2 linked regions of the Oryctolagus cuniculus genome follow. The protein of the gene in region 1 purifies or fractionates together with the protein of each later gene. This does not show direct contact. Links are inferred from orthologs where the notes say so. Each region holds a gene or a part of one and is shown on either strand. Other genes may lie near its edges. The genes, in order: PIDD1 and CRADD.

Evidence for each region.
Region 2: the proteins of PIDD1 (region 1) and CRADD purify together in Homo sapiens (affinity purification with western blotting; 8 studies listed by BioGRID and IntAct, with this or other methods). This does not show direct contact. The link is inferred for Oryctolagus cuniculus from reciprocal best matches to the Homo sapiens genes PIDD1 and CRADD.

Annotation. Positions count from the first base shown.
Region 1 is NC_091432.1:329,726-338,921, forward strand, and holds the start of PIDD1 (p53-induced death domain-containing protein 1), read right to left. Parts: upstream 6,982-9,196; 5' UTR 6,623-6,981; intron 4,408-6,622; exon of another isoform or gene 4,173-4,407; intron 3,992-4,172; 5' UTR 3,914-3,991; coding exon 3,616-3,913; intron 3,395-3,615; exon of another isoform or gene 3,281-3,394; coding exon 2,867-3,280; intron 2,642-2,866; coding exon 2,432-2,641; intron 2,351-2,431; coding exon 2,296-2,350; intron 2,199-2,295; coding exon 1,997-2,198; intron 1,918-1,996; coding exon 1,792-1,917; intron 1,688-1,791; coding exon 1,508-1,687; intron 1,431-1,507; coding exon 1,283-1,430; intron 1,196-1,282; coding exon 681-1,195; intron 605-680; coding exon 481-604; intron 412-480; coding exon 293-411; intron 214-292; coding exon 106-213; intron 24-105; coding exon 1-23. Other genes in the region: RPLP2 (large ribosomal subunit protein P2), read left to right, coding at 8,044-8,166, 8,259-8,307, 8,856-8,954, 9,027-9,103. UniProt on the Homo sapiens protein: Component of the DNA damage/stress response pathway that functions downstream of p53/TP53 and can either promote cell survival or apoptosis.
Region 2 is NC_091442.1:96,629,061-96,638,156, reverse strand, and holds part of CRADD (death domain-containing protein CRADD), read right to left. Parts: intron 4,995-9,096; exon of another isoform or gene 4,991-4,994; 5' UTR 4,775-4,990; intron 3,624-4,774; 5' UTR 3,618-3,623; coding exon 3,320-3,617; intron 1-3,319. UniProt on the Homo sapiens protein: Adapter protein that associates with PIDD1 and the caspase CASP2 to form the PIDDosome, a complex that activates CASP2 and triggers apoptosis.

The sequences.
Region 1 (9,196 bases):
CGCCCCTTGGGCGCCCGCAGTCTCTGTGGCAGGGAGAGTGTGCGGTGAGCCCCTAACGCCACTCCACACTCCGTCACCCCGGGCCAGCCCTGCCCCTGCCCTCACCGGCAGCTTGAGGGGCAGAGTGGCCATCCAGAGGGCGTCCGCACCCTTCCTCTGCCGGGCGGCCTCCTTGGGCACCTCCGTGGGCACCGAGCCCCGGTAGAAGGACACCTGGGAGATCAGGCGGGGTTCAGAGCTCCGGCGGGTGTCCGGGCAGCCCGGGCCCTACCGCCGCCCCCGCCCCGCCCACCTGTCCTCGCACGGCCTGAGCCTCCCGGTCCAGGGCGGTGGTCACGTACACCTCCTTCACGTTCTTCAGGTGTGAGTAGAAGACGAAGCAGATCCTGCCCTCCACGCAGTCGGGGCGGTCTGGGGGCCAGGGGGCTCAGCAGGGGGCGCACCCAGGGACCCGCCCCTCCCCGGGGGCACAGAGCCTACCAGCGTCCACCTCGATGCCCCGCTCGAAGGCTGCAAAGAACTTCTCGCCCTCGAACACCTCCACAGTGTCGGAGGGCTCGGGGCCGCGGTATCGCTCCAGCAGCCGCTGCAGGGTGGCGTCCACCTGCGGGCACCGGCGCGCTGCAGCCCGAGGCCTTGCCACGCCCGCCACCTGCTGCCCGCCCCCTCCACCGCCCCACCTTGTTGCGGGGCAGGCACTGCAGCAGGACCTGCTCGGGGTCCCGGCGCCTCTGCAGTGCGATGAGGTTCACGCGGTGCAGCCGCAGCCGCTCCCAGGCCTTGCGGGCCAGGTCCCCCACGCGGGCCTTGGTGGTGTACCAGAGCCAGTACCTGGGGGGCGGGTGAGCTGGGGGCTGGGCAGACGGGGGCGGGGCTGAAGGGGCTGGGGGCGCTGACCAGGAGCAGTGACCAGGGGCTGGGGGGCTGAACAGGAGGAGTGACCAGGGGCTGGGGGGGGCTGACCAGGAGCAGTGACCTGGGGCTGGGGGGCTGACCAGGAGGAGTGACCAGGGGCTGGGCACACAGGGATGGGGCTGAGGGCGGGGGGGGGGCACTGACCAGGAGAAGTGTGTGACCTGGAAGCGTGCATACAGGTGGGTGACCTCCAGCGCCACCGCAGCCGTGATGTCATCCCACGTGGCCTCAGGAGGAGCCCGGTGCAGCAGGTGCAGGCGGGAACGGTCCAGGTCGAGGCCTGGACAGGACGGGACAGCAGGCTGAGGCCCCGCTGCAGGGCTGCCCTGCAGGCCACCGGCCCAGGGGCCACACAGCCGCCTCTCACCTGTGAGGCCAGGGGGCAAGGGCAGCTGCACGGTGACCGGCCGCAGGAAGGACGTGGGGCCGCTCTGCGAGAGGCGCAGTAGGGGGCTCACGGCGGCCCCAGGCTCCCCAAGCAGGGCTCGCAGCTCCCGGCCGGCCATGCGCAGCACCTGGGGCAGACAGGCCGCCTGAGTGTCCACCGTGCGCGGAGGCGCCCCAGCCGCCCATGGCCCTATGCTGGCCGTACCTGCATGGACACGTGACGAGGCTCCTGGGTGGCCCCTGGGGGGAAGGTGACCTTGACCCCAGGGTGGCCAGAGGAGCACAGCAGGGTCCCCTCTGGCGGCACCAGGCAGGCATCGGACACAGGGCGCAGAACCACGAGGAACCACGAGAAGTGGGGCACCTGGCAGCGGGCCCAGAGCCGCTGGGACAGGGGAGGGGTCAGAGGAGAGGCTGAGTCAGGCCGGGGGTCCAGGCAAACAGCGGGCAGGGGTGGACAGCACCAGGCCAGGCCTGGGCAGCTCTCACTTTGGGTGCCTCTTCCTCCAGGAAGGTCTCCAGGTCGCTCCAGCTGCCGTCACTCCGGGTCCTGACCACCACCTCACGGCAAAGCTGGGTCCGTGGGGGGACAACAAGCAGCCACAGGCTCACATCCTGCCAGGCAGGGGGCCGTGTGAGGGCCAGAGCCGGGCCTGGGGGCTCCACGCCCACCCCCCACCTGCCTTGGCCGTGCCTGCCGGAAGGTCAGCCCGTGGGGCCACAGCTCCAGGACACTGCTGAGCAGGGAGTCGTGAGGGCCCAGCGAGACGAGGCCCGGCTGCGGCAGCCATAGCTGGTAGTGGATGGTGACGGGGGCGGTGGTGGCCCCGGCCGGGAACAGCAGGCGGACACCATGGGCCAGGGTCACGGAGCAGCCCCACGGGGTGACGGGAAAGCTGAGGGTGGAGGAGCGTCGGTCACACACACAGGGCCCCCGTGGACGCCAGAACCCCCAGGGCACGTCCTGGCCGCTCTTCCAGCCCTGCCCGGTACCTGCCCGCGTCCGAGGTCAGGCGCAGCCGAGGCATCTCCGGATCCATGGGGGTCCCTGCGGGAGGGGCGGACAGATCCTGGGGGGTGCCACCGCCCGCGTCTCCCCTGTGGTGCCCCTCCCTGGCAACAGGCCTACCTGGGGGACTCGGGGAGGCTGCTGGGGCCTCGCCCAGGGGGTTCCCCTGCAGGCGCACGAAGGGTGCGTCCAGGAGCTCAGGGGGCACGGCCCGGAGCTGGTTGTCCCTCAGGTCCAGCTGGGCGAGCAGCGGGAGGCCGGCCAGGTCAGCGGGCACGGAGGTGAGGCGGTTGCTGTGCAGGACCAGGAGCCGCAGGCACCGGAGGCGGGCTGCAGGCAGGCGGGGCCGGCTTAGCGCCGGGAGGGGGGGCCTGCGGGGGCCACCCTCGCGGACACCGCCCCTTGGCAGACTCAGTGGGCCTCATGGAGGCCTTGAAGGCTGGGCTGAGGGCAGGCTGCGGGTGCAGGGGCCCCTACAGAAGCGGAGAGGGGCCAGAGCCCATGTGAGGCTGCAGGGTGCTGCCCCAGGAGCCCAGGGCCTCCGCTGCCACTCACCGAGGGAGGCCGGGACGCTCTGCAGCGCGTTCGAGGCCAGGTTGAGCTCAGAGAGGCGGCTTAGGCCCCCGATGGCGGCGGGCAGGGAGTCCAGCAGGTTCTCAGACAGGTCGAGGCGCTGCAGGGTGGACAGCGCCCCCAGCGTCGCGGGCAGCGCCCGGAGCCGGTTGTGCGTCACAGTGAGGAAGGTGAGGGCAGGGAGGGCTCCCAGGGCCTCGGGCAGCTCCGAGAGGCGGTTATGGGACAGGAGGAGAGCGTCCAGGCTGCGCATGTGTGGGACGCAGGCCGGCAGCGTCCGCAGGCTGTTGAAGCTCAGGTCCAGGTGGGCCAGGCGGCCCAGGCCACTCAGGCTGGCTGGCAGCGTGGTCAGGGTGCCCGGGAGGCAGGCACCCAGCATGTCCCGGCGTTGGCCTCCTGGGACGGGGAGGGGCAGACGTGACCTTCAGAGCCAGGGCCCTGGCTGCCAGCTCGGCCCTGCTGGCCCCCGCACCTGGCGCTGCATGGGGACAGGCAGACGCGGGCTCGGTGCTGCAGGCGGAGGGCGCAGGGATGGAGCCATGGCTCAGCCCCAGGCAGCGCCGCCCACGTCCTTCCCCAGGAGCGGCGTCCACACTGGATCTGCTCAGGGGGAGCCAGGCTCCACAGAGCGCAGGGGACGGCGGACCAGGGCAGCTGATGGGTGGGGGCGGGCCTGAGGCAGGGCAGCAGGGAGGGGTGGGGAGAGGGTCAGACGCCGCGGCCGGGCTCACCTTTGAGGACCAGGGAGCGGAGGCGGGGCAGGCGTGCAGGCACCCGGGCCAGGGCGGCCTCCAGCAGCCCGGGGTCTTCGTGGGTGCTCAGCCGCAGGAACTCCACCTGCAGCAGCTGCGTCGGCTGCTGGGCGCACAGGTGCAGCAGTCGCTGGCAGCCCGCGGGGTACAGGTCCAAGTTCAGCTGCTTCCCGGCCAGGAGAGGAGCCGCCCCGGGCCCGGCACCCACCGCCGCCGCTGCTGCAGCATCTCCCGTGGCAGCTGCCTCGGGCTCCAGCCCCTCCGCCACTGTGGCCATCGTCACCCCCCGGCCGTCCCTGGGGGCCAGGCATGTCCCAGCTCGCAGAGCAGGCCTGCTCAGGCAGGCCCTGGGAAGCTGCGAGGCAGGGAGAGGAGTGAGTGTGATGGGGGCTGGGTCTCTCCCCCTCCCCCTCAGCCTGGGCTCTGCAGGGTCACTGTTGGGGGCTGTGGTCCAGCGTCTGAGGGGCACCGAGCGTGGACAGCGCTGCCTGGGGTGGGGAGCCCAGTCTGCCCCAGTCCTGGGGTTAAGAGCCCACCTTCGACCCTCTCGCGCATCGGCTTGGACCGCGGTGCCTAGGACCCGCACCTACCGCGCGGCTCAGCCCCGAGAGCCCACGCTCCGCCGCCCCCGCCGCCAGGGAAGGAGCGCGGTCCCTCGCGTCGGGGGCAGCTGCACACCCCGGCCGGGTCGCGGCGCCGCGCACCCGGGTCCAGGCGCCCGCCCGGCTTCCCGCTTCCCGCTTCCCGCCCGCGCGTTTCCGGGCGGGCAGGCGGGGACTCTGGGCCCCGCCCCTCCAAACACGCCCCCCGCCCACCGCACGCGGGGCTGTTGTCACCCAGCAGAACAGGTGCCAGGTGCTCCCAGCCAGGCCTGTGCGCCCTCCCCGCGCCGCCCCTCCCCTGCTCGTCCCTGCCCGCCGCGAGGTGGACCCGCGGCTCCCGCCAGGCCTCCCTCCTAGTGCCCGCCTAGTGGCCGTTTGAAGGGGGGATCCTTCATAGGCCCAATCAGGGGGGTACTTCTGAGCCTCATGGAGTGTATTTGGGGTGGGCACTCGGTGTACCCTTGGGAGCCTACAGCCGAGAGGTTAGGGTCCTGGCTCTGTGCACCTGGGGGGCTGCAGAGATGCCTGAAGCACTCGGCCCCTGCCCCCCACGGGGGGGGGCCCACTGAGCTCCAGGCTCCTAGTTTGGCTTGGCCCAGCCCTGGCTGTTTAGGAGTTTGCGGAGTGAACCTGTCTCTGGAACATCTCAGTCTCTTTCAAATAAAATGAAAACAGAAATTTAAAAATAAAACCACCACTCTGGGAAAAAAAAAAAGAGAGAGAGAGAGAGAAAAGGAGTGAATGTGATAGGTGCTAAGGAAGGAACCTTGGACACGTTCCCCTGGAAGAGGGACCCCACCCACAGGAAGCCCCCACAGACACCACAGCCCCAGCTCTGTTCCCCGGCCCAGCTGCACCCCAGGGAGACAGCGGGTGTCCCCGCCCCCAGGAGACCTGGATGGAGCTGCAGGCTCCTGGCTTTGGCCTGGCCCTGCCCTGGCTGTTCTGAGCTGGGGACTGACCCAGTTCATGGATCTCTTTCTGCCTTTTATTTTTAAAAAAATATTTATTTATTTGAAATTCAGAGTTACACAGAGAGAGGAGAAAGAGAGAAGGAGAGGAGAGAGAGGGGGAGAGAGAGAGAGAGAGAGAGAGAGAGAGAGAGAGAGAGAGAGAGGTCTTCCATCTGCTGGTTCACTCCCCAGATGGCTGCAACGGCTGGAGCTGCGCCGATCCGAAGTCAGGAGCTTCTCCCGGGTCTCCCATGCGCGTGCAGGGGCCCAAGGACCTGGGCCATCTTCCACTGCTTTCCCAGGCCACAGCAGAGAGCTGGATTGGAAGTGGAGCAGCCGGGACTGGAACTGGCGCCCGTATGGGCCACCTATTTTTTTTTTTTCTTTTACAGGCAGAGTGGACAGTGAGAGAGAGAGAGACAGAGAGAAAGGTCTTCCTTTTGCCATCGGTTCACCCTCCAATGGCCGCCGCGGCCGGTGCACTGCGGCCCGTGCACCGCGCTGATCCGAAGGCAGGAGCCAGGTACTTCTCCTGGTCTCCCATGGGGTGCAAGGCCCAAGCACTTGGGCCATCCTCCACTGCACTCCCTGGCCACAGCAGAGAGCTGGCCTGGAAGAGGAGCAACCGGGACAGAATCCGGCGCCCCGACCAGGACTAGAACCCGGTGTGCAAGGTGGAGGATTTGCCTATTGAGCTGCGGCGCCGGCCCCACCTATTTTTGAGGTGGCAGCCTCACTGCTCTGCCACAGCGCCCGCCCCTCTGTCTGCCTTTCAAATCTATTAAATAGACGAGCAGGGCAGGCACCCTGTGGCAGCAGGAGCGCCCTCCAGGAGGCCTGGTTGGGTCCTGGCTGCTCCACCTCCCATGCAGCCCCCCCCCCGGGTGCTCCGGGCGCCCCGCACAGGGGAGACTCAGAGTTCCTGGATCCCGGCTGCAGCCCGGCCTCCCCGTGGCAGCCATGTGGGGAATGGACCAGCGGGTGGAAGACCTGGCTGTCTCCCTTCGCTCTGCTTTCCACATAAATACGTATTTAAAACGACACACAGAGACCCAGGGGGCTGGCGCGGTGCAACAACCCTGGCACCCCATGCGCACTGGTTCCTGGCTGCTCCACTTCCGATCCAGCTCTGCTGACGCCCTGGGAGAGCACCTGGGCCCCCGCACCCACGTGGGAGACCCGGATGGAACTCCAGGCCCCTGGCTTCAGCCTGGCCCAGCCCCAGCAGTTGTGGCCATTTGAGGAGTGAACCAGCAGATGAAAGACGTCTGTCTCCCTCGCTCTGTAGCTCTGCTGTGAGTGTATGGGGGTCGCTAAGGCTGGGGGTGCAGCCCAGGGACCAGGCGGGGCTGTGAGGCCACAGCAGTGACGCGGCCTCCGCGAACTGCACGGTTCAGAAAGGTGGCGATCACCAAAAACCCAGCAACGCACCCATCTCTGCGTGAAGCATCGGACAGCTGCTTCTGGGGCTGCACCGGAGTCCGCCCTCGCCAGGACTTGGCCTCCCACTTCCCGAGTGCCCAGGGTCCTCCTGCGTTAGAGGGGCGGCCTGCGGCCCAAGCTCACACACGGCTCCTGACGCCCTGCGCGGGGGCTCGGGGGGGGGGCGCCCTCACACCGGGCCTGACCCCACGCGCGGGGGCTCGGGGCGCGCTCACACACCGGGCCTGACCCCACGCGCGGGGGCTCGGGGTGCGCTCACACACCGGGTTCTGATCTCACGCTTGGGGGCTCGGGGGTGGGGCGCGCTCACACACGGCTCCTGACCCCACGCGCGGGGACTCGGGGTGCGCTCACAATCGGGCCTGACCCCACGCGCGGGGGCTCGGGGGGGGGCGCGCTCACACACCGGGCCTGACCCCACGCGCGGGGGCTCGGGGGGGGGCGCGCTCACACACGGCTCCTGACCCCACGCTTGGGGGCTCGGGGTGCGCTCACACACTGGGTCCTGACCCACGCGCGGGGACTTGCGCTCCGGTTGGAGCCCATCAGGACGCGCGCCGGGCTGGCTCCCTGTCCCCTCTCAGCTCAGGGACGCTTCCCCAGGCCGCACAAGACCCGTCTTTCTCTACTACCCCAGCAAGGGTGGGGCCCCCATGACCCGGGTCGCGGGCCCGAGCGGGTGACTGAGCCACGCGTGCCGGGACGGACGCGCGGCCAGCGCGGGCGAGAACACGGACGCCATCGGCCGGTCACGCAGACCTCGTGTCGCGCGCGGGGCCCAGGCGAGGCGGCTGGGCGCGCAGGCTCGCCGCGCCCACGTGCGGCCGCTCCAGGCCGGCAGGGGCCGCGACTTCCGGTAGCGGTGCATCATGGGACTCGTGGTTCGCGGCACGAGATGCGCACGCGCGTGGCGGCCGCGCTGCATGCTGGGCTCTGTAGGCGCCGCGTGGCATGCTGGGAGCGCGAGGCGCGGAAGGCAGACGAAGTCCCGGTCAGCCTTCTTCGCCCGCCGCCCTGCCCATATCCAGGGACCTTCGGCCCTACGGTATCCGGGAAGCCAGTCCGGGAACAATCTTTCGCTTTTGCCACGGCGACCGCCTGGGTAGGCAGCGAACGATGGCGCCTCTCCTGCCGTCATTGGCTGCGCGCCGCGGACGTCATCCGGAGGCGCCTCGCATTCCGGCGCAGAGGCTTCTGGGTAGCGGTTTACCCCCGCCCACTGCGCCGGCGCCTTCCTTTCCGCCCCGGACGCCGCCGAGGTCGCACGCGTGAGGCCCGTCCGCCGCCGCCGCCGCGTGAGTGGAGCGCCGGGCCTCGGGAGCGGGCGCGGGGTCGGCGGGGGTGCGGGGCTGGGGCCTCCCCGGGCTGCGCGCGGGGGTCGCCGCGGTAACGCCGCCGCCGCCCGCAGCATGCGCTACGTGGCCTCCTACCTGCTGGCCGCCCTCGGGGGCAACTCCTCGCCCAGCGCCAAAGACATCAAGAAGATCCTGGACAGCGTGGGCATCGAGGCGGATGACGACCGGCTGAACAAGGTGGGGGCGCGGGAGGGCTGGGCCGGTCACGCCGCCGCCGAGCGTGCGGGCCCCCGCGCCCGTGCTGAGCGCCCCGCGCGTGTCCCCGCCAGGTCATCAGCGAGCTGAACGGGAAGAACATCGAGGACGTGATCGCGCAGGGTGAGCGGGGGGCGCGGGCTGCGGGCGGGGGTCCATCCTAATCCCTGCCGGCCGGCTCGTGGCCCGCCAGGGTTCGCTTGTGGACCAGAGCAGGGCGGAGCGGCGCGGGCGCCGGCGTCGGGGTCGGCGTCGGGGCGGTCCCGGGCGGGCGCTCCTACAGCTCCGCTCCCGCGCGGTGCGGGCAGTCCCGTTGGGGGCGCTCCTACGGCCTCGCTCCCGTGCGCGGTGCGGGCAGTCCCGTTGGGGGCGCTCCTACGGCCCCGCTCCCGTGCGCGGGGCGGGCAGTCCCGTTGGGGGCGCTCCTACGGCCCCGCTCCCGCGCGCGGTGCGGGCAGTCCCGTTGGGGGCGCTCCTACGGCCCCGCTCGCGCGCGGTGCGGGCAGTCCCGTTGGGGGCGCTCCTACGGCTCTGCTGCGCGTGGCGCGCGGTGCTGAGACTTGGTAATTTAAAAGCCGAGTTTGCAGACGGGGTCTTGGGGCCGCGGGATCCCCCCCCAAGGGCTGTGCCGGCGAGGGCCCTCCAGGCATCGCTCCCCCCGCCTCCCCCAGGTATCGGCAAGCTGGCCAGTGTGCCCGCCGGCACGGCTGTGGCCGTCTCTGCCGCCCCGGGCTCCGCGGCCCCTGCTGCCGGCTCGGCGCCCGCCGCAGGTGAGTGGGCGGGGAGCCGGGGCGTGGGCTGGGGTCTCCGCGGGCGGCCGCTCACTGCCTCTGTCCCTGCAGCCGAGGAGAAGAAGGAGGAGAAGAAGGAGGAGTCCGAGGAGTCGGACGACGACATGGGATTCGGCCTGTTCGACTAGCCCCCCCCCCCCCCAATAAAGCCTTTGTACCGGAGCCTCTGAGTCTCTCTGTGCGGGGAGGGCTGCGGGGCGCCCCCTGAGGGCCGCGGACCC
Region 2 (9,096 bases), on another chromosome or scaffold:
TTACCCAAACAAAGACTCCGAAGCAGCTCAGAATTTACAAGTAAAACACAACAACAAACAATTAGGGGAAAATCAAGAATCTGCAAGACCAGAATACGAAAACAAAATCATTCATTTTTGAAGAGGAATATACCTCATGGCTAAGGAGAAGGCCATTCCTTCCCCTTTGTCTTCAAGGCCGCCCAAGACAAGAACACCAAATCCACACAATATATTAACAATTACAATCAAAATAAGCTGTTGGTAGTAGAGGTTATGTACATACATACACAAATAAGCACTCCATTTTCCTACAGACCAGTTCCTCAAAACTCAAAGTTGCCTTTAGAAACATTTAAATTAAAGCTTACAACAATTACTACCACATTGGAGAAGCACTCGGGGTCCCAGGAAGTAGGCCTATGAGTTTGTTTGTTTATAGGGATATAAAATTGGAAGGCTTTTCAACTCTGATACTCTTTCAAGATTAAAAAAAGCAAAAACTAGGTTTCCAGTTAATTAAGTCCTAATTTAATTTTAGAATTAGAATACTGTCATCAAATTAACTGCTTTAAACACTTCAAAAAAATTTGAAGGTCTTAAAAAAGAGAAGGTTGTTAACTAACAACTCCTTTAAAATATGCATGTTTTGGGGCCAGCACTGAGGTACAGCAGGCTGAGACAAAGGCATCCCATTTGAGTGCAGGTTCCAGTTCTGGCTGCTCCACTTTTAATCCAGCTCCCTGCTAATGCACTTGGAAAAACAACAGAAGATGGCCCAAGGACTTGCGGCCCTCACACCCATGTGAGAGACTCAGATGGGCTTCCAGGCTCCTGGCATCAGTCTGGCCCAGCCCTGGTAGGTGCTATCATCTGAGAAATGAACCAGAGGATGGAAAATCTACCTTTTTGAAACTCTGCATTTCAAATAAATAAATAAACTTTTTTAAATGTGTATATTATTTCTTCCATATTTCCCATACACATAAATTATAGATAGATAGATAGATAGATAGATAAATCTATATACCACTAGGATCTATGGTATACTGGATTTTCAGTAACATGGATTTTTTTAAGTGCTTTTTATGAGATGAAAAACCACAAAGTAAAGAGAATAAATGATAAACTCCAAATTCAAGCTTATCAGTGAGTCATGGATTAGAAGGAGAGGACTGGGAAGGAGCATCCAGGGGTTCTCAAAGGCAATTGTTATTTTTCTAAACCTGAGTGATGTGCAAAAAGGTGCTCACTGCGCCAGTACCGGCATATATTACTCATATTTTGTTATTTAAAATAGTCATTGCAAAAATAACTATTTTAAAAATGAGTTTATGTAATAATCATTGCAGAAGGTATACAGACATGTAAATCAAACCGCTTCAGAATATTTTTTTCTGTAGCTGTGTTAATAAGAACTAAAACACTTAAGAATTATTGATTAACCTTATCTTTCATTCGACAGAATTTTAAAAATCTGGAAAACCTTATTTTTCTAAACTTCTACACAGATACAGTCAATTTCTTCCTATGCATACTGTCTCATCCTGTTTGCTTTTTAAAAACCTATTTTTCCCTTAGCTTCTTTGTAACTTTCACCATTTGGTAACCTTACTCTCCGAAGGAATCCAAGGAAATGGAAATGGGGTCACACCTCTGTGAATGCCATAGAGCAGTACTATTTACATCACTCAAAATGACCATGCAATTAAGTTAAATTGCTAGTGAAAACCTTTCAACTCGCCCTTCTTATTTCCAACTAGGTGCCGCCAGGGAACCTCTAAGACAAATACCAGGAAAACACCAATAATTTGTTTTTATAAAATTTAAGAAGCATAAAGACGGAAAGCTAAAGCTCCCATCTGCTAGTTCATACTCCCTAAATGCCTGCAAAAGCCAGGACCTCAATCCCAGTCTCCCACATGGGAGGCTGGAACCCAATTACTTGGGCCATCACTGCTGTCTCCCAGGGCGTGCTTTAGAAAGAAGCTGGAATCAGCAGCCAAAGCCAGAAATTGAGCCCAAGAACTGTGATGTGGGGCGCAAGCATCTTACTGGCTAGGATTGAAAAATGTTTTAGTTTCTCCCCAATTCTGTTTTATTTTTTTCAATAAAGTAGTAAAAATGTCTTAGATTTGTTGGCTTGGTTTTGTTCAGCCATGTAGAGCGCTTAATGACAGTCCAGGCTGAGAGTTCCAGTTGTCCTCCAAGGTGAGCTATTTTCAATTTCAAAAAAGTCTAAGCATAAATTTACCTGGAATTTATCCAAGCTAAGGATGAAAATATTTTGTGATTTCATCAGGTTTTCTTAACTGGTCATCACATGTCAGATACTCAGACACACATCATTAACAAAAATGGAATTCATTAGGAGTACTTCATACATGTGGTCTGAAAAATCATTTAAAATACAGGGTCCATGGAGAAAAAAAAAATAAATGGTCTTTTATTACTAGAATTTTTTAACTAGTTGTTCTGGCATTTTTAAAACAGCAACAACAAAGTCTGGGGACTTAGAAAAAAATATTTTAAAATTTTTTTTGCCACTTCAGTCCTCTGCCCCTCAGTCTCGGAAAAAGTATAAACCCTGGAAATGTTAGGAGGGAACAAGTGCTTCGTATAACATCTTCTACCTGCTATAAGATAGGCTAATAGCACCAGAATGGCTTCTTTTTTTCCACAGCTTCCAATTCTCCTTAAAATCAAAACGAAACCCTCCCCTAGATGACCATCCCTACAAAAGGAAATCCTTCAGGTGCCTCAACAAAGTCAAACTTAAAAGAACACTTTAAATTGACAGCCTTTAGAAACCAACTAAGCGCATCTTCACAATCGCGCCTTGGGCCTTGCAGGGCGAGGGGGGACAGGTGCGGAGCTTGCCTTCCTAGAGACCGCACCGCCTCCACCACTGTGACCTTTCCCAGCTGCCAGCTCTGGCGCCCAACAAACCAGTTATCAGTAGGCCAAAGCCCGCTTTCCCATCTGCACTTTCCAAATGGCTCTCGATGCCAAGGGCTGGGCTGTGACCTGGCTCTCTGATGAGAACATGCCTCCTGAGTGGCTTGCCAAGTCTCCCTGGAAGCGTTTCTCAGCGTACTCTCTGAGTGCCCTCCTCAACCTCTCAGGCATGGTTCCTTCTTCCTTCCTTCCCTGGACCTCCTCATCCTGTCCCCCCAACATCCTGTCCCATCCGTGTCCCTTCAGTCCAAACTCCTGACTGCCATCCCCCACCCCTTGCACGCATCATCGACCTCTGCCCAGCCTAAAACTCCAACTTCAGTCTAGAGGGCACAGTTCCAACCTTTCAGGAGCTGGCGAGAAGAGACCTGTGGAGGCCTACCTGCAGGCAGCTCTGTTGCAGCTTCTTCCCTTGCCTTCTGCAGCTTCTCTCTCACCCAGGGGAACTCCTTCAGGGAATCCAGGAATGCATCAAAAGCTTTGGGACCCCTGGACGGCAGGATATCCAGCAGCAGCATTGTCTTCCGCAGGCCCGTGGCCTGAGCCTGGATTTCTTGAACGTGGTTTTCTGTCAAGATGCCTTCCTGGTACAGGTACTGAAGAACCAGTCCCTCCACCAGAACCTCTGCACCCAGCTCCAGGCGATGTGAGCGGAGCACCTGTTTGTCTCTGGCCTCCATTGCTCCCTGAGAAGACACAAAATCCTGGCTCAAATCACAGAAATGCCTAAGCGCCCCTCAAGATAATGTCAATGCACCAGATACATCGCGGGCCCTAGCACGGGGCCAGGCTATGGTATTTCACACACGATTGGTAAGCCCAGCTAAGTTCATTTCCAAGTTTCCAAATGACACTAAAAATGAATTTTTATTTTATTTTATGTATTTATTTATTTATTTATTTTGCTTTTCACACAGTGTGGTCAAAGTTCAATTCCTTGTTCAATAAGGATGTGGACAGCAGTGGGTCTGACACTTTGCTTAAGAAGCAATTTTTATCTGAGGATTATAGAGGAACATTCCGTTTTAACGCCCTGGAGTAGAAACATGGTTTTATTTCCACATGGACTTCATCGGAGATACCAGCCACCACTGCTAGAGAAACTAACAGACCTCAGCAATGGCAGTGGGGGGCCAGAATGCATTGAAGGATTTTTTCCAAGAGAAAAACCCTCCACACCATCACCACCTTCAAGAAAAGTACTTCTAAACTGTTTGTGCGCAGTCGACCACACGACCACACTACATACACGCAGAGCGTAATCCTTCTAAGAATTCAGGACCACTGTCACAGCTCTGCGGTGGGTATGGGACATCGGCATGGGGCATTTAATGGTTTCTTTCTTTTTTTTTTTTTTTTCTTAAAACAAAAAGCCCACACCGCCGCCCAGTAAGCTGTGGGACTGCTGCAAGCACAGGAGGGTTAAGGGGCACGGAGGGGATTCAGACGCGCGACACCCGGCTCCCCTCGCCGCCCTCTGCGAGGGCTGGGCCGTGGCAGGTGGAGGAGGGGGTGTCCACGTTTGGCTGAGAACATCCCTTCGGAACTTCGCTTTAATTCCCTGCCTTGGCGGCTGAATCCCTTGACGGATTACAAACAGGAAGAACCGCCAGAGATTTTCAAAGCAACTTCACCCGCCAAACAGGGAGTGCTGGGAACTCTCGTCAGAGCCCCCTGAGGGGACAGCGGACCCCCAGCACCGCCGCCCCTACCCCAACCCTGGCCCGGTTCTGAAGCCCGGTAACCAAGCTAGCGGGGGGCGAGAGGGCCACACAGGGCTCGGGTCAGAACGCCACAGCGCGGGGCTTTCGAGAAAAGATGGATTCCTCTTACTTACGTCTGCAACCACGTTTCTAAAAAAAAAAAAAACTACAACCGGAATCCAGACTGTCAGGGAACCTCTACCATAAGCACCATCTTTGTTGAAGGCGGAAGCCCGAAACAGGAAGTGACGTCGCCATCTTTGTTGAGGGCAAACACAGGAAGTGGAAGTACTGTCGCCATTTTTATAGGCGGTCCAGGGGTCAGGTTGACGCTTTGTCCGCCATGTTTGCTGTGGGAAAACAATAAAACCGCCTGAAGGTGAAAAATTGTGGTATTACTTGGAGGGCTACCTAAGCGAAGGAGTAAAGATATTGTTGCTTTTTGATAGAGTAACTCCACCACGCCCTGCACACAACTGATATACTAGACAGGCAGTTCAAAAGTTACCCTAGAGCAAAGCCTTTTCTGACCACTGTTATTTAAAATGGCAGTGCACCTGTGTTCCTCTCTTGCGCTCCCATTCCGTTTACCTGTTTATTTTTATCTAGAGCATGTTACATCCACTCATAAGCTAAAACAAAATGTTACAAAAACTAGTGACGGTCACACATGAATTTTATTGAAAATGAGAAGCAAATGAAAGGCAGGTAACCGAGCAGGACCGTCCACCCATAGGAACCCACACTCCTTACCAGAGGGCAGCCCCCAACAGTGGGTTACATAGCTTTTTATAGTATTCTGTCCACTAGGGCTCACAATTTCAACCGGACCCCTGGTATGCAGTGAACAATAAAGAGGAAAACCAGAATATGGTTGTAAGGTAACAGTTAACAACAACAAACCCAATAACAGATCCAAGATATGGTTGTAAAATAACAGTGAAGGACACATTTTGGCCAACCTAGTTCCTGGGAATTTGGGCCCACATAGTTTCACAAGATCCACCCTTAGCCGTTACCAAACAAAGCTAATATGTACAGAAGCAAGAGGTCTGCAATTAGCTTTTAGCCATACTCAATCCATTTTATTCTGATTCTTCAAGCACATCACTGTTTTACCAAAACCTTTGCTTACTCATTTGTTTACCAGCTGTTTCCACCTGAGTGCAGGATCATCTCTACGTCCACAGTATTCCTGCCTGCAGAGTTTACAAGTCAGTGCCCCTGGGCTTCCAGGCTACTCCAGAGAGAAAGGGGTTTGTCATGGGGCATTGGGGACATTTGGAATCACGGGGTAAGCTGTTAAAAGGGCTGATCACCAAAGGGTGACCCCTACACAACACTGCCAAACTGACTTCTGGCCACACTCACCAATAGAGTCTTGAAATCACCAACTAGAGGGAGGGACATCAGATGAAGCTGATTCTACTGTGTCTACCACATCTTTACTTTGGGAAGCAAGACCAAATACCTGACCCAATACAGAGATGGAAGAGTAGCAAATTGAGTCTTTCCTCAAATTCTTTTGTGAAACAAGGCATATGGTCAATAAAGTATTCATTGATTCATTTTTACATCAACCGGAGAATGCAAGTATGTGCAGAAAGTCATGCACCTGCTCAAAATGGATTGGCAGTAACAGAAAAAAAATCTTTCAAATATAATTTCTCCAAAGGAATTCACAACCAGCACCTCTGAAGGAAGATGAATATATTCTTATAAGAAAATCAGTGGAGGGGAATTCTGAACCTTCCTTCTGAAAACCTGATAATTATGTCCAGTTTACAGCGTTACTATGCTAGTATATAATTTTACTATACCAGTAAAGTGTTTTTATATATGCGCCTAATATTATTGTTATTATTTTACATGTGTAGAGACTGTGGAATCAGAATGGCCAATTGTCTTAGCCAAAGTCTGAGTTAATACAAAGCAAAACCTGAATTCTAATCAAGATTCTGATTTCATGCTCTTTCCAGTATATAACACAGTCCCATAAAGATTCTGTTGTTCTGGTGACAGCCAAAATATTATTGGTAAATAGTCCTGTTGCCACTTCCCACTCCTGATAGTCGAGTTTCAGGTACTCTGTACTCTTGTCCACTTCCTCTTTTGCTCTACGGTTTGGTTTGGATACAGTTGGTTCCCCCTGGGGTTTCACATATTGTAGGCTTGGACCACAGTATGGTGATGTGAGAGCTGCTGGGGCCTTTAAGAAGAGGCTACTGCAGTGCTGGCATCCCATATGGGTGCCAGTTCAAGTCCTGGCTGCTCCACTTCTGATCCAGCTCTCTGCTGTGGCCTGGGAAAGCAGTAGAAGATGACCCAAGTCCTTGGGCCCCTGCACCCATGTGGGAGGTCCGGAGGAAGTTCCTGGCTCCTGGCTTCAGACCCACGCAGCTCTGGCTGTTGCAGCCAATTGGGGAGTGAACCAGCAGATGGAAGACCTCTCTCTCTATCTGCCTCTCCTTCTCTTTCTGTGTAACTCTGACTTTCAAATAAATAAATCTTTAAAAAACAAAAAAGATGAGGCTAGTGGGAGGTCTTTGGGTGATTGGGGGGCCTTGCTGTCAAAGGATGATGATAGTTTGAGGATCCTATTTGTTCTTTAAAGAGAAGTTTGTTATAAAACCACCCAACTCTTTAACTTCCTGTTTTTGAAATGTGATTTCTTTCTCCCACACACGCCCTTGCCCATGTGATGTCATCTACCATGAAGCATCACCAGACCTGTGCTGATACTGATGCCAATGTCATGCCTTTGAATCTCCAGAACTGTGAGCTAAATAAACCTTTTTTCTTTAGGTATTTTGTTATAGTAACAAAAAAAGGACAAATGCACTCTAAAATTGGTGTTCTTTCCTTTTCCCTGCTTGGACAAGTAGCAGCAGCATTCTCTGTCTTCATCCAGGTGAAGTGTAGCCCTCAGGCAACACTGCCAATAGCGGAGGATTACTTACTTTTTGGCAAGGAAAACAAAATATATTTTTTTCCAACTTTAAAGCTTTGACAATCTTTAAACAGAAAAGTTGAAACAAATAGCACAGTTAACACCCGTTGAATACACATCTTGAGCACTTACCCTATCTGGAAAGACTTTAGATCTGGGAACTCAAGGGTGAGCCTTGATTATGACGTCCAGGAACAGGTGGAGAACCAAGAGCAAGACCCTTGAGGGTCACAGAAGTGAAGCAAAGAGGGCAAGAACAGCACACAAAAAGTGAGCTTATCGGCAGGCATCCTTATGGTAAATAACCTGAGTGGCTGGCCTTTAAGGTTCTGACTTATCCATAGACAAAGACCACCACCATTAAATTCCTCTTCCTGTGGCAAAGTTAGATGTGTCCATACTGCCTACTAAGTGACCAGGGTGACTCTCAGACTGTCTAGCTACCTGTCATTAACCAGTGGAAGAAGTGGCCACCACCCCACCTAAACACACAGTGATACTTTGGAGCAGTATATCAAAGTATGGTTTGGGGGCTGGTATATACATATGATATACACACAGTATATCATATATAAACACACAGTATATTGGAGCGGTATATCAAAGTGTGGTTTGGGGGCTGGTGCTGTGCTGCAGTGGGTTAAGCTGCTGTCTACAGCACTAGCATCCCATATGGGCACCAATTCGAGTACCAGCTGCTCTACTTCCGGTTCAACTCCCTGCTAACACACCTGGGAAAGCAGCGGAGGATGGTCTAAGTGCTCGGTCCCCTGCACACATGTGTGTAGCTCCTGGCTTCAGCCTGGCCCAGTCCCAGCCATTGCAGCCATTTAGGGAGTGAACCAACAAAAGATTCTCTCTCTGTCTGTCTCTCTCTCTGTAACTCTGTACTCTGCCTTTCAAATAAATAAAATAAATCTTAAAAAAAAAAAAAAAAAAAGTCCGGGGCCAGCGCTGTGACGTAGTGGGTAAAGTTGCCACCTGCAGTGCCAGTATCCTATATGGGTACTGGTTCAAGTCCTGGCTGCTCCATTTCTGATCCAGCTCTCTGCTATGGCCTGGGAAAGCAGTGGAAGATGACCCAAGCCCTTAGGCCCCTGCACCTGTGTGGGAGACCCAGAAGAAGCTCCTGGCTCCTGGCTTCGGATCAGCTCAGCACTGGCCATTTTGGCCATTTGGGGAGTAAACCAGCAGATGGAAGACACCTCTCTCTCTCTCTCTCTCTCTCTCTCTCTCTCTCTCTACTTCTCTGTAACTCTTTCAAGTAAAATAAATTAAAATCTTAAAAAAAAAAGTCCAGCTTGGCTTCTATAAAGATCTAAGACCAGAGGTTCTCTGAAGAACCCAGCACAGAGGAGGATCACCACCACAGGTGGTCACGCCTCCACGCTTGCCAGTTCCTCTGTGTAGGCTGGAATTGTGCCTTAAGAGGATTAAGCACCTGTTCCCAGTGGTAACAAATCCATTTCAGGAAGTACAGATATGTTCCTTTTTCTCTGTCCCCTG